Linked DNA regions of Coturnix japonica. The protein of the gene in region 2 purifies or fractionates together with the protein of the main gene of each other region. This does not show direct contact. Links are inferred from orthologs where the notes say so. Each region holds a gene or a part of one and is shown on either strand. Other genes may lie near its edges.

Region 1 (3,651 bases), on a different chromosome or scaffold from region 2:
CTGAACTCTTGAGCCATCTTCCATCATATTTTTTCCTCTTCTTCCCTTAGGAAGCTGAGTAAGAGCAATGTGGGAGAGCTCAGCTGCCCATAGGTGTGAAACTACTGCATGATTCCATAAAGGCTGGTGGTCAAAACTGAATGAAACAGGCATACTTCATGAAATCCCTAGCCCAGCCATTCACTGCTGACTGAACTTGTGTCAGTTAACACAATGATATTTATTACTTTTAAAATGCAGCAGATAATCTGTGCATATTTCCATCTCAGTACTCAGAAATTCACAACAACTTCTGTGCTACAAGTTGGTTTTATTCATGAGCTAAAATTCCTGAGTGACTTACCTGGTCCTGGCAAAGAAGTTCAATTTTCTCCTCTGCGAGCACAGCAATGTCCTCCTCTTTTTCTTGTTCTCCTGCTTTTTCATTATTGGAAGAGCTAGTCGTTTGAGACTCGTTATCCAAGTTTATGATTTTCTCATACACATGCTCCATCACTTTCCTCACCTGAAGCATATCACTTGCTGACAGCCGGTCTCTACATAAGGTAAATAACGATTGGCAAGAGAGAACTTGAGGGAACTATTTCTTCTTTTCATGATACTCTATCTACAGCAAACTATGCAAACAATTAAATTTTGCACCTATCATAATATAGAAAGCTAAACAAGATCATACAAACAAAACACCACGACACAACAGCTACCCATCCAAAGACTGGCACAGAGGATCTCAGAAAACCAGTAGGATATTGGATATATCCAATTCCCTTTATGCAATGTTGAGACTCAAACACACACTATTACTTACTTTTTTAGAGTTTTTGCCCCTGAAGATGAATGAGGTTGGAGGTAGAAGGGAATCTTATTGAATTTGGGCATGTTTTTCTAGAAGGAAATACATTTGAAAAATGTTACATTTAGAATGAACTATTATCAGCTCCCATTTCCACCAGCTGGTAAGCAAAGTATAGTCAGTTCTTAATTATCAATAACCAAGATGTTGCTAATAAGCAGCTACCACAGACAGCCTCCAGATTACTCACACTCCTAATGTGCTCCAGTTTCAGTATATAACACACCACATCTTCCTTTTGAATGTAATTACTGCTCACGTACTGCTCACTTCAAAGGAAATCAATAATATGAAAACACAGCAGCAACGTAAAGGTCACTCTCTGTACCTGAGCTCTCTACTTGAAAAGGACGTCCATTACGCACAGTGATTTGAGCTCCTTTTCTAAGCCTTCAAGGCACAAAAAACTTTAACTGGGCACTTCAAAAGACAACGCTTATTCAAGGGTCTTGAGTACAGTCCTTGAGACCACTTATTTTAAAATACAGTATACGAAAGACAGAAAAATTGAACATGTCATTTGGATTGAGCTCAGTTAAAAGATTTTATGATTGACCTTCAACAAACAAAACCTGAAGTCTACACGTGGGAAACTTACATCCACAGTGATATCAATCACCCATTGTGGCACAGTCTCGTTCAGAAGCATAGACTCCGTTTCACCACCTGAATCCCGACACAATAACCTACGACACAGAGAAGACAGCTTTATGAATGGAAACGTTCAGTGTTCAGAAATCAATCATAACAATATATGCTAAAAGACGCTCAGGAAACGACGATGCATCCTTTCAATGTGTGTAGAGCTTGAAATTGGTTAGCTGGCCTTTCACAGGATTAAGCTTACTGAGGAGGTGGTCAGGTAATTCCTACCAAGGCCAAGAAGTGTAACTGCATGCAAAAAGGATCCCTAAGGCAGAAATAGGGAGACTACAGGCTGCAGCACAAACCATGACACTAGTTTGCATGTGGACTGCATGTGTTTTATGTTGTAAGCACTGACTGCAACTTACTGTTGGTAAACCAGGAAGTGTTTGGCCACTTTGTATATACTTCTGAGTTTCTGTACCTGAACAAAGTGCGTCCTCCAGCCTCACCAAATATAACTGGTGTATGTGGTGGTACTTGAAAATATCCATTTCCTTTCTGGACTCTGTTCTCCTGCTCACCATTCACTGCTGGGGAAAAAAGAAATACACCATTAAGATTATATTAGGCCTTAAAACTGGATGTATGTGGAACAAAAAAATATCTTCTCCATCTACAGTTAGCAATTTCATAAATGAAACAAAATCAGAAGCTTTGTAAAAGAAAGAAAAACCCAATTTCCAACACACAGCAAGTTTATCAGAAGGAACAGTAGAAAGTAAAGAGATTTTCAGAACTCTGAAAGATACCGGCTTTGTTTTTCTACACGGTTTTGAACAAAGTCAAGGTAGAGTACTAGTAGAGCTCAAATTCACACTTTAAGTGACTGCATTCTATATTCATTTAATTTTGGACAGTGTTAGGTCTTCAAACACTTGAAAAAATGACTCTACATCCATTCAAAATTATAAATTAAAAAATAAAAATAAAAAAATCAGCATTAATTATGCAATTTTTGAAGACTTTTTGTTATTCCAGTACCTTGTAACACAAGTTGTAAGTATTTAGATTCACATCTTTCATAAATAAAATCACATTAAGCAAAAAGCCCAAGAAAGAAAAACTATTATATATTAGAGAAGGAATGAATATAATTGCTAAGGTAGAGAAGGAGAGATGTCATATAGTTTGAAAGATTTCCTCATGGCAGTTCTGTTAACAACTGATAGTAACAATACAAGAAAGCTCTCATCTCTTTGAATGGTTACTTTTGAGAAGGAAAAGTGGAGCCTCTGATTCTGTAGTGAATGTTCTGAACATTTCACTAATCCATGACAACTCACAGAAATACACAGTGGAGCATAAATACACACCAAGGCTACAAAAGCCTGAGAATTACACTTCTATGCTGTCTGACTCCACAATTGAGGGCTGTCAATACACAGAAGTATGATAATCAGCAACTTTATCCAGAGAAGTCTGCTAAGTGCTGTAATGCTGCTTGGAGTTCACTTTTAAATGAGATTGTTAACCCTTGGCATCATCTTTGTCCCAGGATGACAAGAGTCCAATTAAGGAAATTGTTCAGTGCAGCAATATCTGTAGAAAGTAATTTCTTAATTGCCATTCATAGACAAGACATTTTAGTCAACTCTGACCTGGGCTGAATGCATTTCAAACTCTTTCAAAAACTTAAAAGAGTTTCACAGTCCCTCTCATTCTGCTTTAATTTAAAGATCATTCTAAGATAGCTTTGCACAGACTTACTATTATGTCAATATTCAATATATTTTTTTCCAAATATTTATTTGATATCATTCACAACATCAGAATGTATGCTGGAATTACACCAAGAATAATACCTAATATCAAATAACTGAATTACTGCTCTTTATTATCATTACCTAGACCATTTCTTTTCTTTTTCCAAACTGAGCCTTACTTCTGCCACTAATGGTTTTCTACCACGGCATCATGCTTCTCTAACTTAAGAACTACCTATTCACTTTTTATTTCCTTCTTCAGATTAGAATTCTTTGTATTTTTTTTTTTTGCTGGCATGTTAGGAAGAAAAAAAGCTGTTCAGCACCTTTTGACACAAAACAATTTCAAAGGCAGTAAATTACATTAAAAGCCATGATGCATGGAGAACTGTAAGACAGCAAATCAAGCTGTAACTGTTAAAGAAACAGAACAATAAAAATGTAAGA
Region 2 (4,294 bases):
CACAGGTAGAAGCTGAAGAATGAATACCAGTCTCCAGAACGCTGAGTCACTCCAAATTGGGATCGAGCGCATCAGGGTACTTACTTTCATGAAGTACGGTATAAACATTGTGACTAAAAGGTAGAACCAAGACAAAAGGAAAAGACATGAAAAGCTGTCTTTAACTGAGAAACTGCAATTGCAGACAACTGTGTCTCAAAAAGTGAAACAGTCTGGAGTGCATTAGGATTTTACTGCCTCTTCCACTGGTGGTAGAGTTGTGGAGGGGGGGAAGAGAAGACAGCAGTAACTTCCAGAAGAAGCTTACGTAGTCATTTTGAAACGGGCCTAAGGATACACTGATAGACAGTAAACAAAATTAAAATTAAATAAATAAATAAATTAATTAAAAAGCAGGGAAAAAAAACAACAAAACAAAAACAAGAGAGCTGTCTACAAGACAAAAATGAAAAAAACTCCGAATACTGCATCCAATTCAGGGCCTCCCAGCACTGTAAAGACATACACCTGTTAGAGCAAATCCAGAAGAAGGGCACAAGGATGATCAGTGAGCTGAAGCATCTCTCCTATGAAGACAGGCTGAGAGCTGTTTATTTTCTTGCCTGGAGAACAGAAGGCTCCAGGAAGACCTTGTAGCATCCCCGCAGTGACTAAAGGGAGCAGACAAGGAAGCTGGGTGGGTACTCTTTATCAGGAGCGATAATCACAGAATCACAGAATGACCCAGGTTGGAAGGGACCTCAAGGATCATGTAGTTCCAACCCCCCTGCCTGGCAGGGCCACCAAACATATACCTTTACTAGATCAGGTTGCCCAGGGCCCCGTCCAACCTGGCCTTGAACACCTCCAAGGACGGGGCATCCACAACCTCCCTGGGCAGCCTGTTCCAGGGCCTAACCACTCTCCTAGTGAAGAACTTCCCCCTAACATCCAACCTAAATCTTCCCTCTTTTAACTTGGATCCATTTCCCCTAGTCCTGCTATTGTCAGCCCTTTCAAAGAGTTTACTCCCCTCCCGGGTTTAGGTTCCCTTCAGGTATTGAAAGGCTGCAATGAGGTCACCCCGCAACCTTCTCTTCTCCAGGCTGAAAGATAAGACAAAAGGTAACAGTTTTTGTCCTCAGGCTCAAAGTTACCAAGCTCAGAGGAGAGGCCGCAGTAGTTCTGATTACTGAAAACGCATAGAACAGTTGGTGACAGAAGGGAAGAGCAGAAGGGTCTGCAGTAACGCGTTCCCCGGGCGAACAAAGCCCCCTGCCCAGCTGCGAGCCAGCACCCCACCACAAAGCAAGGCGGTGCGGGCATCCAGCTCCGCCATGTCTCACCTGTGCTCTGGATGCGGTAATTCAATGTGTCCGCCCGGGAAGGGCCGACGCCGGGACCTCCTCCCTTCCTTTCAGTAGTTTCACATTCGCAGACGCAGATTCGACGCCGTAGAACCGGCTGCCTTCGCCCCTCCTCTTTGCGGCGAATGTGCCGTTCTGCGAGCAGCGTCAACGGCGGGTGGCTGTCGCCGGCTGCCGCGGCGATGGCCGGGATGGCGAGGAGGTGGGTGACGGGTCTGGGGTCGGGTCTGGCCGAGCCGCGCGGAGGGACAAGGGGCACAAGTGCGTGTTGTGCGGACCGTGTGTGCCCCGGTGGCGCAGTGGTTAAGGACGCCACTTAGCAACACTGGAGACTGGGGTTCGAATCCTCCCTGTGGCGCAAGTGGTCGAAGTGCTGCCCTGCTACACAGAGGCTCGAATCCCGGGGGTTGGACTCGATGATCTCTAAGGTCCCTTCCAACCAGCCCAAGACTGTGATACTGTGTGTATATACTGTGATGGCTGCCGTGCCTCCTTCAGGCGGGTTGGGATGTGAGCCGAACGGCGCCGAGCTGGTTTTTCTTCGAAAGCCTGTGGCGCGCGCGCGCTGCATTTGCCCGTCGCTTGTGTGACGTGCAGCCTCATCTCCTCGGTCTGAAAGTGACCGTGGAATGGAATCGATCTCCAAGGAGTTGTGTGTGTGCTGCCATAAGGGAAACAACAACATGGGATGAAACTACAGCATAGGAAGTTCAGCACGAATGTGCAGAAGAACTTCTTTACAGTGAGGGTGACGGAGCACTGGAACAGGCTGCCCAGGGAGGTGGTGGAGTCTCCTTCTCTGGAGATATTCAAGACCTGGACACCTACCGGTGCAACATGGTATAGAGAACCTGCTTTGGCAGGGGGTTGGACTCGATGATCTCTAGAGGTCCCTTCCAACCCCTACAATTCTGTGATTCTGTGCAAAAACCCTTACTTAGGAGCTATTCAGGAATGAAGATGAATGGATTGAGAGCAGCGCTGCAGAGGATTGGGATTGTTTGTTCATGAAAAACCCAACATGTCCCAACATGTGCCAACAGTGTGCAATTCCAGCCCAGGAGGGATAGCTGTACCCTGGGCTGTATTAAATGAGGGATGGCCAACAGGGCAGGGCCCTCAGCTCCGCATTCACGAGGGCCCATCTGGAAAACTGCGTTGATGCTTGGGGCTCTCAACAGGGGAAGGATGAAGAGCTGTTGAAATAGGTCTGGATGAGGGCCATGAAGATATCAGGGCTGGAGCACTTAGGAGTAAGGCAGTTTCAGGGGGTTTAGCTTGTTCAGCCTGGGGACAAGAAGACTCTGGGAAGACCCTATAGTAGCCTAATAGCACCTAAAGAGAGCTGTAAGGGTGGATAATATGAAAGATGGTAAATATTCAAAAGGTAAAGGGAAACACACCAATATCAATGCCTTAGCTGGAAAAAGCTGAGGCAATCTCCACCAGGGAGTGATCTCCAAGAGATGCTGCCTCAGTGGGGGTCAGCCCTTAAATGAGGTCTAGAGGAGGTGGAGTCGAGCTCCATCCCTTCCAGGAGCACAGCTAAATTACTCTCACCTGTGCTCCTGCAGCTGACCTAACACTTGCCTCAGCTGATTAATCAGAGGTTCAGGCTGTGATTACCAATTTCCCATACAAGAGCGTACAACAGAACTGAATAGGACTCTCAGGAAGACAAGAGGAAACTGTTTCAAATTTCATGAGGGTAGGTTTGGTTGAGTATTAGGGAGGAATTCTTCACCATGAGGGTGGTGAGGCACTGAAACAGGCTGCCCAGAGAAGCCAAAGTAGGCCTAATGGGCAGCCTGATCTGATGGAGGTGTCCCTATGCTCAGAAGTGGGGGTTGGAACTGTCCCTTCCTAACCAAGCTATTCTGTTCTTAGTAACCATATTGTATGCAATAGTAATAGTTACACATGTATTTGGACATACGCTGCTTTTCTCCTTAAATACATGATACAAACCAAATCAAGAATTAGCTAGTAGGGATTCTCAATACGAAGGGCCTAATACTGTGTTCTTTTGCCACAGGAACAGGAAAATTGTTAATTATTCAGAATTTGGGGACTTTGAAGATGGTGGTAAGTGGTGTATTTCTGTACATAACTGAAATGCCAAGCGCTAATGCTACAACCTAAAGTATCAGCAGAGTGTTCTTCTTTTTCATGCATTAGTTAAGTGACAAGGCTATTACTGTTTTCAGTGGATATAAACTGAACATGTTGAAAATCCTAATTCAGCAAGAATATGATTTCTGTAAGCCAAAGCATAACAACAGTTTGCCAGGGATCTGTTGAATGCACTGTGTCTTTTGATTGCAGGAAAATCTGTTTCTCTGCCTACCTCAGTTTTCAGAGAGTTACTTGTTCTGTGCCCTCCTGATGATCATTTCACAAGACTTCATATCAGAATGTAAAGGGAGTTATGTAGTTGGCTGTGCACAGGTCTAACATTTCTCATCCAGCTCTGTAACTTAAAGGATTTTGGATAAGAATTTAGCAATCAAATTTTGAGTTGAATTGGTAAGAAAAATAGATTGTAGGCTCTTAGTTTTCGTGACAATCCTCCTTTACCTCTAAGCCCTAATGGGTATTGTATCATTTCCCTTCATGAATTTGGTTTATTTTTCTATCTTCCTGTGCTATTTGTCAGTTTTTGGTATCCACTGAACAGTTTGAAGTGATAGGAAGGGGAAAGAAAAGTTAAGTGATATTGAAGATCCCTTGTAAGTCATGTGAGTTAATGCAGAGTTTCACAAGTTTAAATACAGTTCGTAACTTTTTTTTTTTAAGTGACCACTTGTCATACTACAAAAAAAAGGAAGCTTGTTTTCCTCTGTCCCTTAGATTTTTATCTCAGAAGTATCATGTATCTGTTCTATGGCATTTAGAAAACACATCGTATTTTTCCTTATTTTGCACTGTGAACTGCATTGTAATTGGTC

What was found. The genes of interacting proteins can lie anywhere in the genome.
Region 1: the proteins of RAD51AP1 (region 2) and WDR48 purify together in Homo sapiens (affinity purification with mass spectrometry; 5 studies listed by BioGRID and IntAct, counting the BioPlex papers as one, with this or other methods). This does not show direct contact. The link is inferred for Coturnix japonica from reciprocal best matches to the Homo sapiens genes RAD51AP1 and WDR48.

What each region holds. Positions count from the first base shown.
Region 1 is NC_029517.1:4,660,143-4,663,793, forward strand, and holds part of WDR48 (WD repeat-containing protein 48), read right to left. Parts: intron 2,032-3,651; coding exon 1,923-2,031; intron 1,540-1,922; coding exon 1,452-1,539; intron 886-1,451; coding exon 809-885; intron 537-808; coding exon 344-536; intron 1-343. UniProt on the Homo sapiens protein: Regulator of deubiquitinating complexes, which acts as a strong activator of USP1, USP12 and USP46. Enhances the USP1-mediated deubiquitination of FANCD2; USP1 being almost inactive by itself.
Region 2 is NC_029516.1:67,090,555-67,094,848, reverse strand, and holds the start of RAD51AP1 (RAD51-associated protein 1), read left to right. Parts: upstream 1-1,441; 5' UTR 1,442-1,471; coding exon 1,472-1,548; intron 1,549-3,381; coding exon 3,382-3,431; intron 3,432-4,294. UniProt on the Homo sapiens protein: Structure-specific DNA-binding protein involved in DNA repair by promoting RAD51-mediated homologous recombination.